Drosophila melanogaster: one gene and its partners. The protein of the gene in region 2 interacts with the protein of the main gene of each other region in a pairwise test. Each region holds a gene or a part of one and is shown on either strand. Other genes may lie near its edges. The genes, in order: fy, in and frtz.

The links.
Region 1: the proteins of in (region 2) and fy interact in binary tests that used the Drosophila melanogaster proteins (3 or more experiments, as listed by UniProt).
Region 3: the proteins of in (region 2) and frtz interact in binary tests that used the Drosophila melanogaster proteins (3 or more experiments, as listed by UniProt).

What each region holds. Positions count from the first base shown.
Region 1 is NT_033779.5:8,400,963-8,404,983, forward strand, and holds fy (fuzzy), read right to left. Parts: upstream 2,319-4,021; 5' UTR 2,120-2,318; coding exon 2,042-2,119; intron 1,984-2,041; coding exon 869-1,983; intron 810-868; coding exon 752-809; 3' UTR 516-751; downstream 1-515. Other genes in the region: CG31898 (uncharacterized protein), read left to right, coding at 1-515; emb (embargoed), read left to right, coding at 3,326-4,021. UniProt on the Drosophila melanogaster protein: Plays a role in the organization of cell polarity via a planar cell polarity (PCP) cascade. Involved in the development of the hairs on the wings.
Region 2 is NT_037436.4:20,365,278-20,370,804, reverse strand, and holds in (inturned), read right to left. Parts: upstream 3,608-5,527; 5' UTR 3,490-3,607; coding exon 880-3,489; 3' UTR 546-879; downstream 1-545. Other genes in the region: CG13247 (uncharacterized protein), read right to left, coding at 56-293; Toll-9, read left to right, coding at 4,887-5,181. UniProt on the Drosophila melanogaster protein: Plays a role in the definition of cell polarity via the planar cell polarity (PCP) cascade. Acts downstream of fuz and accumulates asymmetrically in wing cells to regulate planar polarity in the wing. Probably acts by regulating ciliogenesis.
Region 3 is NT_033779.5:1,710,751-1,717,865, forward strand, and holds frtz (fritz), read right to left. Parts: upstream 5,102-7,115; 5' UTR 4,807-5,101; coding exon 4,389-4,806; intron 3,724-4,388; coding exon 3,423-3,723; intron 3,368-3,422; coding exon 2,417-3,367; intron 2,359-2,416; coding exon 1,847-2,358; intron 1,793-1,846; coding exon 1,395-1,792; intron 1,338-1,394; coding exon 1,178-1,337; intron 1,118-1,177; coding exon 1,002-1,117; 3' UTR 552-1,001; downstream 1-551. Other genes in the region: mRpL48 (mitochondrial ribosomal protein L48), read left to right, coding at 101-535; Rim2 (replication in mitochondria 2), read right to left, coding at 6,353-6,479, 6,848-7,065. UniProt on the Drosophila melanogaster protein: Probable effector of the planar cell polarity signaling pathway which regulates the septin cytoskeleton in both ciliogenesis and collective cell movements. Functions cell autonomously to regulate wing cell hair polarity and number.

The DNA of each region.
Region 1 (4,021 bases), on a different chromosome or scaffold from region 2:
AACGATTGCCAACGTCTTCATTCCAAACTTCTTGGAAATCGTTAAGTCAAAGCTCGCTGAATAAATCTAACTGCTCTGGATTGACCGAGGATAGCTATACCGAATCTTCTCCAGCTATTCAACTTGTTCCTAGTGAAAGTCCTAGGCAGTATCTGCCAAGTAGCCAAAATAGAGTCAATTTGAAGGCAAACCCTCGCTGTGTTAAAGGAGGCTATGCTGAGGAGTTCCGTAAAGTCCTCAAAAAAGTAAGAATGGATCAGCGTCAACTTAAAAACCATGCAGCCACTCACACGGCTAAAATTTTGTCTGTTACAAACCAGTATGGTGTTACCATTGCCCTAGTGGCTTCCGATAATGGACGTAGTTTCAATATTCTTCCTCCAAAAGGAGAAACCACACAACTTACAGTTGGATCTATAGTACAATTTTTTCTGGATCCAAGGATAAAGCCCTTAGAGCTAAACAAGAAACAACTGGTCTATTGTCGCCCATACAATGTTGTAATAAAAGGATAAGGACATATTGTATATTTAAAATATATAAATAGTATTTGTAAGGACGGAATTGTAAGTCATTAAAGCCATATTAGTATGTAGCATATACATATAAGATTTGTCAAAAATTACGCTTAACTTTAGAAAAGGAGTTGTACCCTATTGTTCGTTAAATATAATGTCATTTAAAAAAAAACATTATTTCATGGAAAAGTAGTAACAAAAATCAGTCTTTAGGCTTAGAAAGAAATATCGTATCACCAACATACTGACTTCTCCTGGAGTATATTAGCATGGATGCGTTGCGCAAGGAATCTGTAAATACAATACTGATTTTAAAACCTTGTCATCAAAGTAAATAATTATAATCGCACCTCATTGCGTGCGAGGGCACCGCTGCCACAAACAACAAGAATATGACATTGCCCAGCTCATCCATATGGGCATAGCACTTGTGGTAGTCCGAGCAGCTATATTGGTCCACTAACGTAGTTTTATTGCTGGACGACTGGGTTTCAAATTGGTGGACTGCATCCATAGTTTGATCGAAAAACTTCTTTAGAATGTCCAAGCGCTGTAGATCGCCCACAATGATGCGCTTGACACTCGCCGACTGGTTTAGATTTCTGGTAAAGAGACTTTTTCGCGTGTGTCGGTTAATTAGAATGATGGCCAGCACATTTCCATCGATCTCCAGATGCTCGGGCAGACTGCGCGGCACGCATCGCTCGGCGGCTGCCAAAAGGTTGCCTTCATTCCGGTAGGCACTCATGGCATGTGCATGCAACTCTCGGAACGAGGCATTCTCAGCGCCACACAGGACACACAGAGCACTGTTCGACGCCACAGGAATACTGACAAAGCGGTAGGCTATATGGGGACTTTTCACGGGCAAATAGACCGGCACATCGTGTTGCATTGTGCTCGACGAATTCAACAGAAACAGCAGCAGCTCGCGGTCCCGAGTGTCCAGATCCCACCAGCCCTCAGTGGCCACAGCGATACGGTGTCCCACAACCAGGCAGCAAAAGAGCGAGCCACAGTGGCCACTAAATTCATTTAGACACTGCAGCAGCTGGGCGTTTTCCGCCGCCAGCAGACAGTCCGTGTAGCCCAGGAGTTGTGTACCCGCACAGGCGGCTTCCAGAATAGCGTCAACAATCGGGACATACTTCTTGGCGTCCTTCTTCAGTCTATCGAGGAGCGTTGCATGTGCCATTTCTGCGGCCCGGGTAATGAACATGCCTATCGCTCCAAAGACAAGATCAGCCAGCGTCTGAAGCAGTTGCTCCGACCCAACACCGCAGCCGCACACGATCAGGGTGATGGATTCCCGGTCGCGCCATATGTAAGTCCACTCCTCGGCATCCGCGGGAGCCTGATTCTGGATAGGCTGCTGTTTGCTGGTCGTCGTGGCCTCCAGTTGGATTCCCAGCGACTTAAAGAACATGTGAAAGCCGTTTAAGGAGGCCACCGTCGAGAAGGGCAGCTGGATATGGAGAAAGGGTATTAACTAAGTGAATAGGTAGGCAATATGTTACTCTTACATTTTCGCATTCTCCCTTCTTTCGTGTAAACACTGGCAATCCGCCGTTTGTTGTCAAACATAACAAATAGATGGACATCGCAGCTCTTCTTCTTCGCCGAACCTGCTACGTATGATGCTTACATCGATTAAATCGATTCGTTTTGAATTATCGAAAATAAGCGATGCACTAGTAAATTAATATGATTTATTTTAAACTTTTATCTGAATTACTTGCATACTTTTAGTGTTTTAATGTAATAAATCAGTAAGATGCAGTATTTTGTAGCTGATTCAGGAGAACAGATCAAATTCAAATATATTTATGTCAATTTATGCATGCATGCATACTGGTTTGTTTTTCCATTAAATTAAACAGATAATATTTTTTTGTATTTTTTTTTAAAACATCGCTGCTTAAAACATCGATGTTTTTCGATATCAGGGACATCGATGTTTCTGGCAGTAAGTAAGCCAACAAACTAAGCATCTTCATCCATGCCATTTGATTATTTTATTCGATCAACGTTATCGATCACTTTGCGTGCATGCCTGTAGACCAGGGCTGTGGACGTATGTTTGTTCAGCACCATACGGGCACACTGTTCTCACAAATTGCATTTCGCATTGTCCGTCGTCGTCGTTTTCACACGCTGCTCTTTTCTGGAATCGGTAAAAGGTAAGCTTGATATGTGAATTACATGTTCATGATTGTTAATTAATTACACACTGCGTCCTCGCTGGCGCGTTTTGAAAAGCTAAGAAAATTTGGGAAATGCCGCCGCAGTCTTGTCGCATTTGCGGCGGCGATGCGTTCGCCTGTGCCAGTGTGTGCGTATGTGTGGTGTGCCGAGCGCTTGTATGTGTGCGAGTGCGAAAAAGTGTAGCGCGCGCAGGCAACAGCGTGCGCTTGTAGTTGTGTGTTCCAAAAAAATGAAACAAGAAAACAAAAAAGAAATATGGTTGCCTGTCGACAGGCGTAAAAGTACGCAATATGTATAACCAACGGTCTTATTTCCACAGCTTCAGGTCCAGTCCCGGCACCAGATCCAGATCCCGATCCAGATCGAGAGTCGCCGCTCCTCACCGTCATCATAGTGCGAAGAAGAAGAAGCTGAAGCAGAAGCCGCCGCGCACTTTCGATAAATAAAGTGGAAAAAAAAAACAGCAAAAACAAGAAATCCAAAGGGAAAAAACGTGAGATCCGAGCTCATCCGGCGGAGGAGGAAGCCAAGAAGCTATCAAAATTAACGCGGACACAACTGCAGAGCGACGCCGACGCGAACGCCGCTTCTACTACAAAGCGATGGCGACAATGTTGACATCGGACGAGGCGGGCAAGCTGCTCGACTTCTCCCAGAAGCTGGACATTAATCTGCTGGACAAGATCGTCGAGGTTGTGTACACAGCGCAGGGCGAGCAGTTGCGTCTAGCCCAGAGCATACTGACCACGCTGAAGGAGCATCCAGAGGCATGGACGCGGGTGGACAGCATATTGGAGTACTCACAGAACCAGCGGACCAAGTTTTATGCTCTGCAAATCCTCGAGGAGGTCATCAAAACGCGCTGGAAGGTCCTGCCGCGCAACCAGTGCGAGGGAATCAAGAAGTATGTGGTCAGTCTTATCATCAAGACCTCGTCGGATCCCATTGTTATGGAGCAGAACAAAGTGTATCTGAATAAGCTAAACATGATTCTGGTCCACATTCTAAAGCGCGAATGGCCACGCAACTGGGAGACATTCATCAGTGACATTGTCGGTGCGTCGAAAACGAACGAGAGCCTGTGCATGAACAACATGGTAATCCTGAAGAACCTTAGTGAGGAGGTGTTCGACTTTTCGCAGGGTCAGATCACGCAGACTAAGGCCAAGCACCTGAAAGACACCATGTGCTCGGAGTTCTCTCAGATCTTTACACTATGCTCCTTCGTGCTGGAGAACTCGATGAATGCCGCCCTAATCCATGTCACGCTGGAGACTCTGCTGAGGTTCCTTAACTGG
Region 2 (5,527 bases):
CACAAAGCATAAATAGTTTCAAGATCAAACGGGCAAGAGACCACTGACCACCCACCTGATCCACACACTCCCTTAAGGGTTTTTGTGGTGACAGCCTCGGCAGATGCCTTCACCTCCCCCGCAGTCACAGTGCAAACAGCTTTCTGCACTTCGCTGGGCAGTTTTGGAGCAGCTTCTGTATCCAAGGGATTCCCGGTGACGTTGAACAGTCCACTGCCCGATTCCTCCTCCGTCGCCATCGCCGTGGAGCAGAGAACAAGACACAGCATCCACGTAGCTGTCATCATATCCATCCACCAAGAATCCTCTTCTGTTGAAACACCCAAACACAACTGTCGACGAATCTTGGGAAATTGGCAATTTGGGGAGCACCACCTTGAGCCACTCGTTCACGTGGATTTATTGGTCGGCGTGTCTTTTGACTTCTGGTGCGTGGAACTACTTTTAGAATGGGACCCTCCCACCAAACTCTAAAAATAGTGTACACTTTTGATGGCTTCTCTAGTACGAACTATGAATGAATGAAACACATTCGCACGATGTTTGTGTTCCTCTTGAAATACCTTCATACATACATATTTATTCGCTGCGTTTCAGAGGAAATGTACATATTTTTCAATTTCTTAGAGTTTTGGCAAGCTTGCGCTTTTCGAATTTTGAAAATACAAAATTGCACTTCCCCTAAATCAAATGCTTTCGTAATAGAATTGCTGAAAATGATTAATTATGCATTCTTAAATATAATTTTAAAAAATTGTTTGAATGCCTATATAAAAGTAATTTGTTTAGTTAAAACCACATTTTAAATATTTGTGTTTATATTATAGCAAGAATTCTACGCATAGCCAGTATCTAAGTTGGTAGTATCCTTCCAAGATGTCATCCCATTGAGAAGAAGGACAACCGGAAGGCCATTTCGACTATGTTCTGGGGAACATCGGACCGGTGACACACGTACACTTCCTTGGCTGGCGACTGAAAGAGACGACCAACCACCACGAAGCGACTGCTCGTCGAGGATTGGGATTGCCCGTCCGACTTGGGTTGCGTGCTGACCTCCAGGATCATGCCGTGCTCCTTGACCAGCGACACTGTGTGGCTACTGTGCCCGTTCGAGTTCGTCTGTGCTCTCGAGGATTCCGATAGATGCCTGCGATAGTGCTTGGATTTCTGCAGCACGGCGTGGATTATGTGACACGCCTGACGAATCTCGGAGAGGTAGTTGGAGTTCTCGGAGCTGTCGGTAAATGGCGCAAACAAGGACCCATTGGCTATGTCAATGTAGACGTAGTGCAGAACGGAATTCTTCCAGCCAGCGGATATCTTGACCGGCACCACGTTGTTGATCTCCTTCCACATGGACTCTGTCATTTGGCTCTGACTGTGGCTCTCGGCCCCGAGATTCAGTCCATAGTGAAGTGGATGCTGTACGGCGAAGTTCTCCCAGTCGGAACCGCTGTCTGAGTCCTCGGCAGTACCATGGATGGGGGTCAATCGCCTGCGACAGGACTCGTCCTCACTGGGAGTCAGACTATGTATGGAAGACCCACCCAGGGACGAGCACAGTTGGGCTTCCTCCTCCACCGAAGGACTCAGCACGGTTAGCTTCTGCTTGAGGAAGGACTCCAGTCGGTTGTTCGGCTCCTTCTCCTGATCTCTACTCTCGCTGGCAGTGGCGTCCAGCACCTCGGGTCTCTTATTGGAAACGGACCAGAACATGGCCAGGGATTCAATGCCGCACTGTACTAGGTGGTCCAGCGTCTCTTGAATCTCCTCGATGTAAAAGAGCGATGGACCCACCACCGCATCCGGCGCCATGTCTGGAGCATCGAAGATCTTCAAGATCACGGCCAGACTCAAGTGGTTCTTGGTGCAGATGGTAAGGAAATATCGCCCTGTGGCACTGGGCAACACTATCTCCTCCCACACGTACATCTCGCGAACTTTGATTCCCGGAGCAGCTCCGAGCAACTCGAAGATTCCGCGGCAGCGCAGGAATCCTTCTACACTCACCCTCACTTCCGGTGGCAGCAGGCTGGCCACCAGGAAGCCATCGTAGTACAGCGCACTGCCGTAGATGAAGAACTCGCGATGGGTGGTGAGTGGCTCGTCGTTCCAGTTGCGATAGTCCATGGCCTCCATTTCACTCAGAGCATCAAAGATGCGCAGCTGCGCTTCCTTTGGCAGTGGCAGGCTGCGGGATTGGCCCAGGAGCTCCTCGAAACGAATATGACCATGGCATCTGGCTACGAGCCGGGTTCTCTGGATTTCGCAAAAGTGTCGAAGGAACAGCTTCAGTCTCGAACTATTCCCCGGCTCTCTCTCCTGATTAAAGCTCTCCAGGACCAAGCCCGGCAGAGAGAAGCGTATGTATCCGATTAGCTCATCCGATCGCAGGCTGCACTCCGCCGCACAGCAGAGTCCTCCGGCGTAGGCGAAGAGGACTAGGAACCCATTCAGTTGGCGGTAGTTGACGTGGTATTGCACCTGATCCACCAGCAGCCTTGAACTCAGCGGCTGGGTGTGCAGTTCACTGAGTACGGCGTGCAGGGTGAGGAAACTCCCACGGGCCTTGAATAGGAAGTTGTCGGGGATTTCCGGAAAGTAGTAGAGGGAATCCTGTTGCTGTTCATGCTGATAGCACTCCGGTGGGAGTAGCAGCATAGCAAAGGGCATTCTTATGTCCACGGAACTACCGGGAATACCGAAGTTCCCCTCCGTTATCAACATCTGCTCAAACTTCTCCGTGAACATGGGAAAGTTCTCCACCTTGCACACCTGCTCCTCGCGGACATTTCGATTATACCCCGGATCGGTGGGCGAAACTGCACTGGCCGCACCGCACGACTGGAAGCCTAGGCACACCTGAGTGGGCTCCACGAACTGCTTGAGCAACTCATCCACATTGCTGGCGTACACCTCTATGCCATTCAGGGATCTAAACCAATCTCCCCGCTTGATGCCGTGCTGCAGCGCACTCACATCGTGAACGAACCCATCGACCATCAGGCATTCTGGTTGGTCCGGAAAGGGCAGGACCCGGAAGCCCAGTATGGACTCCACCGCCGTGGATCGTCGTCCGAAACGGAAGCGATCAGCGGCTGTGATCACCAGATCCAGTTTCTTGGGATCGGGGGCAGCCGTCTTGAACTGTGAGAAGCGGAACTCTTGCGGCTCCGTCTGGCTATCCAACCTGCTCGGGCCGTGGGACTGGTTTTGGTTCTGACTCTGATTCTGATTATTGCTGTGCGGCTGGCGACGCGACGACTTCTTTCCCAGGCGCAGCGATCGACGCATGAACTCCACCCGCCGCTCTGCCGAGACGCCAGTCTTCTCACATCGCACATACTCCATGTAGAAGAGACTGCCGTCTGTGGACACGTACTCCTCCCAGTTGGCCAGGTCGCTGCCATCGCTGTACGAGTTGCTCAGCGAGGAGTTCGAACTGGAGAAGGCCTCCGACGGCAGGCTGGCCGGCGATTTGCGCATAGTTTACCGGGGATAGTTAACTGGGCGGATAGTTATTAGTGGCCTACTATTCCAGGTACACACTCAACTATCTGCCGCCGGTTGATACCGCCTCAGCTCAGCTCTGAATGTCGACTGAAAGCCGAGATCCGATCTCAGCACTCAAAACCAGTTTCTAATTGAGCTCTGGCTCCGACCAGCTCAATACCACTCCACTCAAATTCCAGCGGGAAACGATCCACTCCCTTTGTGATCTGGTTCTCTTTCAAGCTGGGGAAACTCAAAACCCACCGTGGGTTAAGACAAGTATAGTTACCATAATACAATAACCAATTTCTTTTCTTTTTATAAGTGTTCGCATTTAACGATTGGACTGCTAACCAGTTGATTTCAGCGTGATATTAAGTTATAAATAATAATCATGGAAAATCCTTATAAAAATAGAGCTCCGTCTGCGATATGCTGACTCTGCACAAAGTCGCATTGAAGATTTGGTGGAACTTAAAGCAAAATTGGTGTGCTATCATAAGGATTGTGTTAATCAGCGGAAGATTAGTAAAATGTTGCTTCCTCAATGGGTATCCGATGATCATTTGTCATAGGAGACTACCGCTGAAGTCCTATCTCCCAATAAATTATTTTACGGCCAATAAACTGTGTATGCATGATATGAAGGGAATTGATATAATTAATTGGGCATTTGTGGACCCGGGTGTTTTAGTGGCCACCTTTTCGTATCGCCGATGGTCTGATAATCTAAGATTTTCCAAGTGATTTTTTTCATATCGGTCTCCGGACTGGACGCCGTAAATCAAAACTTTTCTATCTGCAAACAATCGAGTAGTATAGAAAATTGTGTCTCACTGAACTCACTATGTGCTGGCCAAAAGCGAGCCGTGGCTATATCGGTTGATCCGGAGCACCGATCCCATTGAAGTACGGGCCTAATAGCCGTACTCCGACGTCCAGATAATTATCCGATAAGGAACATGGCGTGGGCGTGAAGCGGGACGCCCAGTGCCACCGAAAAAGCGATACGCTGATAGTCCCGGGCCATTCAAGGGAAGATATTGCCAAAATTGATAAGCCGTATCATGGCAGAATTAGCCGCACATGTGTACCGCAGCTACCTATTATTTCTGCTGACCATCGGAGCAAGCTGAGTCCTCCAGCCAGTCCATTGCGCGAATCCAAGGCGTGTGCTTCGCCCAGCCGCAAATAAAGTGATTTGCGGGAAATGTCGGCCGCGGTTAACTATCACAAAATGTGGCTTAGATTTCGGAATACCCAGTGAAACTGAATGAGTGGCTAAAAATTGTATAGAACGCGATTATCTGTGTGATTGTGAAATCAAACAGCTGTCAAATCTTATTTATAATCCCCCATTACAAGCACTATAGGTGCGCAATTCAGTGAATATGTGTCCAAAATATATATGGGATGTGATCGTATTAGTATGCCTGTTCCTTGGAAACGTAAGGGAAGCATACACCGAGTTTTCGATCCAGGATGGCTTGATAATAGAACCAGATTCAGCCACAACATCCAGCGAAGAGGCCGAAGAGGTCAGCAAGGAGAGAACGGACCTCAAATCCCTCATGTTGAAGTACGAATCGGATGATGGGAACAGTTGTCTGCTGGATCTGATCAAGGACGAGGTGATATGGTGGCAGTTTCCCAACGGAACCCTCAGGGACAGCACAAAGAAATACGGTAAACCTATCCAATAAAGTCCAATAAAAATCCCTGCCCAAGTCTCAGTTTGATTGGGCATTGTTAACAGCTCTCGAAACTATATACATATACTTTCACGCTTCCGGCAACGCGGATCGACTGCTTATAGAAGGTCTTTGATGTTAGCCTAATCCCACCAGAATCGGTAACATTATTATGGAACCCCTTATCAGTGAAAGCTCTGCATTACTACACCCAGAGAAATTTAAAAAAATACCGATATCGGTTGTGTTCAGCGTACTCAGTGGCATCAATCATGCTCATTAGAAGAAACCTTCTTGATTTCGAGACGAAAACGATCTCAATGTTGATATTTTTTGGCGGA
Region 3 (7,115 bases), on a different chromosome or scaffold from region 2:
CTTTGAGCATAGTAGCATAATCTTGTAGACAGATTTCAATCAGATCAGACTAGATGAGCAATTATTTTGGTGGTCAGTAACCATTGTTCTCCGTTTGCAGTCCCTCAAGCCGAAATTCCCGCAGTACGAGAGCCTGAATGTGCAGATCAAGGGCTACGACTACCCGCAGCTGGAGAGCTACCAGAGGTTTCTGCACGGATTGGCCGAGTACCTGGACTTGGACGTCTCCGACTGCTACGCCCTCCCTCCGCAAAAGACCACGGTGCAGCGACTGCGGCCCAACTCCACGGTCATCGAATCGGAGTACAAGCTGACCACCTACGAGCGCAACCTGCAGCTGAACAATGTGGATGCGCCAGTCTATCCGCAGTTCTTGCGCCTGGCCCAGGCGGCGCTGCCCGAGGGTGTGAGCTTGCAGGTGCAGGAGTACACCGACGACTGCGAGGAGCGGCGCTACGTGCCCGACAAGGAGCTGCTCGACCTGAAGGACGAGCTGGAGCGCATGGGCGGACCCACCACCACCAGGAAGAAGTAGGCGGCGCCTCCGATTTGGCAAACATTTAATGCTTAGCTTTAATGAGTAACCTGTGTAAAGAGTATAGAGAACCTATGAGTAAAACTTTCCTATTTAAAGCTTTGCACTAACTGGGACGGCAATAGTTTAGCCGCCGTTTACAGAAGTTAATATTCTAATACAATTTCACGTGTCTCTTTTATTTTTGATCTGTCCTTTAGCTTGGTTCAACAGCGACTGACTGCCGCGCTCTCTGCAGAGTGGCGAGTCGATTAGTCGATAAGTTTCTCGATAATATTTGTATGTTAAGGATGGGTGTATGAGTGTATAAGCTTATGACTAGATTGGCTATGTATAATTAGGTATGTATGACTAAGAGTAAAGGAAGAGGGTAGAAGGAGCAGCCTACTACAATAGTTACAAACGATTGGAAGACGCAGCGCTTAACCGTTGTGTGGTGTACGCCTGGGAATTGCACTATGAATTATTAGACCACGCCGAAGTGGACCACCTTGATGGACGACGAGGAGGAGGAGGAGTTGCCGCCCTTGCTGCTGCTCTTGGGTTCTTCCTCGCGTCGTCGGATGGGCGGCTTAGTCACATCTGCGAAGAAATGACACGGTCAATGGGGCAAGGTTATTGGTGAACTCAACAAATACCCACTGGTCGTAATGGGGTTGAAATCCTTTAGATACTCGTCGTTCGGATGACAGAGCGGCAGGCTGTCTGCGAGCTCCTTTTTAGGATTTGTCAGATGTCGCGCAGCGGGCCTGGAGTAACCATTTCTCTTGGGTGGCATTGGCTTTTCCTTGCGAGGAATTTCCTGTTCGAGTAAGAGCATTAGTAAACTGTCACATCATCGATTGATTTGTTAACTCACTGGCACCACCGCCACTTGAATTGTATCCGAGAACTTGACTTTGTTCTTTTCGGCCGTTTGTGACTTTGCGGGCGTGGCGGGTGCTTCTCCGTTGGTGGGTGCTGGATTCGCCGGGTTGGACAATATGGATGCGGTGGGTTTCTTTTGCAGCAGGCGCTTCTGGTAGTCCTCGCTGGTGAGCGATGGCAGCATGGCGGGAATATTGCCAGAGACAAGCGGATGTTGATAAAACTTGGGCTGATAGGACCCTGTCGGCGGAGGCGAAGCTGGCATCGTGCTGAACTGACCCAGCTGGGCGCTCTGATCTGGAATGTTTGAAGGCGGAAGACGAGGAAGTGGACTACTAGCCATAGGCAGACCCACCGTCTGATCCGGCACGTCCTGGGACCACAAATTGCCTGAAATAATGGATAAATTATTTAAGTTATGAAGGGAATTTTCTTCACACGAACCATTTGGATGCAGACTCTTTGCGGGCGCCTGCTGCAGACTACTGTTGGACTTCAGGGTTAGACTCGCCAGCGAAGATGTTGGCGGCGCTATTGAAACCTTCGGCAAGGGCGGCCTCAGTTCCGGTTTCGGTATGTTGATCTTGATCATCTCAGCGTTGAATACCTTCGACTTGAACGAGGGCAGCGGTGGCACATAGTTCTTCAGGACCTGCTGGCTTTGTGGCTGACTTGCGCCTAGTCCGGTTTCGGGGGCAGTTCCTGCTCCCTGACCGCGCAACATGTCCGAGCAGGTGGACAGCGAACAGGCCGACTCCGAGCGCAGGTCACAGGTCAGGCTGAGATTGCCGTTGGCGCGATCTTCCTCGTGGATTATGGCAGCTGCCTGACTGAAGGCCACCTGGGCGAACTCACTCAGGCTTGAGATGCACTTGGTTAGGTTGTACAGGTCCATGAAGATGTCATAGTCGGCCACATCCTGGGCGATTTCGAAGGCCTCAGCGAAGAGGTTTTTGCTGCAAGCAACGAAAGGATTGAGCATAAAAGTGGCATGTTCACACGAGCTCAACTCACCGCAGCAGATAGAAGCAGAAGCGGCGCTTCAGATCGTACACCTGATCGCTGAACTCGTCCTTCGTCTCCTCGGAAAGCGTGTGGGCGAATGTCTTCAACGCTCTGGCCATCAGCTCGATGCGAGGTCGTCGCTGGTCACCGCCGAAGAACACATAGTTGGCTATCTTGTGCAGCGTAATCAGGCACATGGCTCCGTAGGTCTCCCAGTTGAGGGCGGCCAGGACATTGACCGCTCTGTCCGGCTGCTGCAGCCGCAGATACTTGTCCGCAATGACGTCCGCAGTGAGTCCGGAATTGTGGATGTCGCCGCGCATTCCGGTGCCGCCAAAGATGCGCATGCAGGCCAAAGGTCCCTGTTCGTACACCAGCAGCAGCAGGCAATCCGTCTGGGCGTAGGTGTGCTTAAAAGTGGACAAATCTGGCTTTCGGCTGAAGGCGACACTCAGCAGCGTTGGCTGGGCCACGAAGTAGTGCGACAGATCCAGCAAGCTGGACGGCGTCACATTCTCGCTAACCAGCTGATGGCCAATGGTGGCCAGCGCCAGGTCGAAGCACTGCAGCACCGATCGCTCGTTGGCCACGCAAAGCATGGCGGAGTCGCAGTGCCAGGCGCACTGATTGGGCACGATCTCAATCTGGTTGGCGTACTTTGTCGACTGCTGGACCAGGTCGTGCAGGCAGATATTGCGATCGACGCTGCCCAGGAAGAGCTTCTCCTGGTCGGGGCTGAAGGCAAAGGAGCAGATCTGGGCGCCCATTGGAATGGAGGTAATGGCGGTGCGCTGCATCTTGCCGGCGGCCAGTTCGTAGGAGCAGATTTCTGCGCTTATGTCGCCCTTGCGGGAAACCTTCTGCTCCAGGGTGATGATCTGGCTCTCGCTGCTTCGCAGGAAGTCCACGCACAGCGGATCGTTCTCCGACCAGCAATAGGCAATCGATTCCAGCTGCAAGCTGAGCAAAGCGATTAGACTGGGCCATGGAGTGGGAGTTGTACTGTGCAACTTACCCCTTGATCTTGAACACATGTATGTTGGCACGATCTTGGTCCCTTATCGTTGGCCTCCAGGGATACACCTCGTTCTGCGAGGACTGCGTCCAAACCACGAACAGATCGAAGCTGGCGTTAACTGTGAGGTGGCGGGATAGTTTGCGCTCTGTGGCGCCCGGTATGATCACGTGGAAGATGCGCGGATCCATATTGGCGATCTTCTCCGGTCCCTGGGAGCGAGCATTAGGCCTCTGCAGATGCACCACCGTCAGCTGGTTGGTATTGTAGGCCAAGACGATGTGGGAACGGGTGAAAAAAGCTGGCGAGACAACGGATGCGGGCGCACGACGAGAAAAGAGACACAAGCGACAAAGCTGAATGAGTGGCTCGAACAAAACATGGAAAGCCGGAGGATGGTGGATGGGGGAAAGGGGTTGGGGGTTCGCATATTTACAGGCAACAAAACAAGCCAGCAGATTAATTAAAAATTACAATAATTGCATGCCCTGCATGTGTGCGTGCGGCTGTGTTGGTGTGGGAAAGTGCAAATCAAGTCGCACTTGTTGCCAATGCAAATTTCTCCATAACTGCACAAGCAGCACTCCGCGGAGCAAGGCCAAATGCGGACTGCACTCTATCGAATGACTGATACCCTGGATGACAAGCGGCAAACAGCACAAAGAACTAAATGCAGGACAGCTTTTATAGCTGAGAGCTTAGTGAATAATTAAATGGCATGCATGTGTTTCTAGCAAGCTGTCTTGGTAATTCGTTCTAATGATGAGGAACCTTTAATTACGCCTGAAATAGCCATTATGTATTGCGTGATGTTAACGCATATTAACTGATTTTCGAACGCTGCAAGTTGAGATGTCTGCCAGTCGAGCTGCACATGCAGAAATGCAATGCCCAAGCTGATTGATGGATGGCTCTAATGCGATGGAGGGCGGGCTGGAGCGGGTGAAAGGAGAGAATCGCACATACCATCCGTAATGACCTCGGAGGCGAGCTTGCCCACCAGGTACTTCTCGAAGACCATGCGCAGAATGTCGCCCGTGTAGATGTCCACGCAGATGTGGGCGATCAGGCCGTGTGAGAAGAGGAGCAGCACCTGCGCCGCGTCCTGCCACTCGGAGTGGATGATCCTGTGCTGGCGCAGCAGGTCCTCCAGCTTCTTGAGGTTGTCCTTCAAGCGGCCGGTGGACTTGCGACCAGAGTTCTTCAGCACGGCCAGTCCATTGCGACGCTCCGTATAGTCTCGCTTGGCCAGGCAGGCGAGGTCCTGCTGCTCCTGCTCCTTGTCGCGCTGCCTGAGGTAGCGAAAGGCGCCCAGGTCCTGGCTCTTGATCCGCACCACATCCTCGCGCAACGTGGTCCAGAAATGGGTCTCGCTGAGCAGCATATTCAGGCCTCCAGTGCATCGATTTGCATGGCGGAATGATGGGTGTCAACGCGACTCGATCAGCTCGATCTCGATTTGTTGGCGTGTGCCTTTCAAGCTGCTCCAATTGCACTGATTGCTTTGTATCGGGGTTAATTGCGCTGCTCTATGACTGCTCTGCGACTCGTTATCAAGGTTGCTCGCGGAATAGCCAACGAATTAGCACTTTGGCCAGGATTTTTCGCTTTAAACAAACTTTGTTTATGAAAATAAAATAAACTTGTTGCTCGAAACACTGCTTACGTTACTAGAGACGGCACTTTGTTACGTCGCTGAGCGTGGTGGTGGCGTGATATAGATGGACTACAACTGCGATCGCTCACGTGGTGGAGATCTTCGATGGAGCACATAGGTTGTGAACCAGGCTATGCTATGTTTTTAGCACGTACCCGAACCAGGATCTAAATTTTTGAAATTCAGAAAAATAAAATATTTACAATAAGCTACCACTACTTTCGCAGTGTAGTAGCTAGCCAATAAATCACTTTAATTTAGTTGTGCGAAATCGTATTATCTTGGCCAAATCGGCTTATCTCATCTCACTTTTATGGGCGGCAGTCTGGTTAGCCAAGATGAACTATGTTCGACTGCAGACGATTGTTAAGATAAGATAATGTACATATATATTAAATGGGAAACGAGTGGGTTATTTTTAAACAAAATTGTTGTATTTATTGATTTCACCATCAAATCGGATTGCAATCAATTATTCACAGTGGTTTCCTTAGTTCTTTGCTCATTATCAGTGAAATACGTTTTGCGTGGAGGGGGGGGGGATAACTAACTAACTAGCTAACTAATGGACTAAATAAACAGCAAAAATTGTATCAATATAGTTAAAGTAATATAGTAGAGTAATGATAACTAAATCGTATATCGCATTTGAGGAAACTTAACGGAAACTTTTACAGTTTACGAATCGGATCGGTCGGCTTTATATCTATATATATATATATTTAGCGGCATCTACTGGCAACTGCGGCCGATTCAACATTTTGTGCTTACAACTAAGAAAACTACGCCAGCGAACTCACTCTTTAACTATTTACAATGCACTCTGAGCGAATCGAGTCCTATGTACACTATATTATCCAAGTATCAACCACATTTATACACTCAATATATATTGTAACTTTAACTAAATAGCAGCCTTTTCAAATTTTGATAACGTTTCGCCCTGCGGTGGCATACCACATCCTTCTGTGGCATGCAGCAAGTGGGTTTAGGGTGTGGATGGTGCACTTCGATCCTGGTGCGTGTTTCCCATTATTGGTTTTTTCTTTGTTTGCTTCTTTTTTTTTTTCGATTGGTTGGCCAACGTTCAACGTCTAACGTCTTAAGTCTATCGAGTTCGTTTCATATCTGACTTAGAAGCTAGTTAACTAAGAATTTGCGCTCGTTGGTTTGGATCGTTTAAAAACGAGGGATAAAATTACATAAAGTTGCAGCAGTCGCGTCTACATATGCACAGATTGGGTTACTCCTTCTCCAGTCCTTTGAAAGGCATCTAAAAGTCGTAGAACTCGTTCGATTTGTTGTTGAAGCGCCGCGTGAGCACATAGACGACCGCCTCATAGGTGGCCATCATGATCGCCGTGTTGGGAATCTGTCGCACCAGCTGCGTGGCCAAGCCTCTGTGGAAATAGTTGGTAAAGTTTACAATTAGTAGGAGAATTTGCTAAGGTAGAGCTCTCATATATAAAACACCTCGAGTGAGCACGCTCGAGAGTGATAATCAAATTAAGGTAAACAAACAAAAAATATGCGACGCAAAAGAATTTAAATAGATTTCACGAATTCGTGGGTGGCACATTATGATAATTCATTAGCTTATATGTATATGTTTCTTATATACATGTCGGAGTGCAAGTGGGATTCCCTTCGATTCTATTTCAAGACGGATTCAAGGGAACTACACGAACAAGGGAATCCCTAAGTACAAGTTGATTGCCTTAATGTCGTATCAAATTGAAAATTCACTCTGCTCATCTATTTTACCCACCTGTAGAGTCCTGCTCTGCCCTCCTCCTTCCAAACAGTGTGCAGGGTCTGCCAGAAGGAGTTGTATTTGTTGCCCTCCTCCCGCAGACGAGTGCGTGCCACTTCGTGGGGATAGGCGATGCAGGAGGCGATGGTTTTGGAAACAGCGCCAGCCATCATGAACTCCAGAAAGTCGCGGGATCCCTTGGTGTCCGTATGCCGCTGATTTCGCTGCTCTAGCTGTTTGTGAAAGCGATTTTAAGTCGGAGGGAAACTAGTGCGCATTAAAT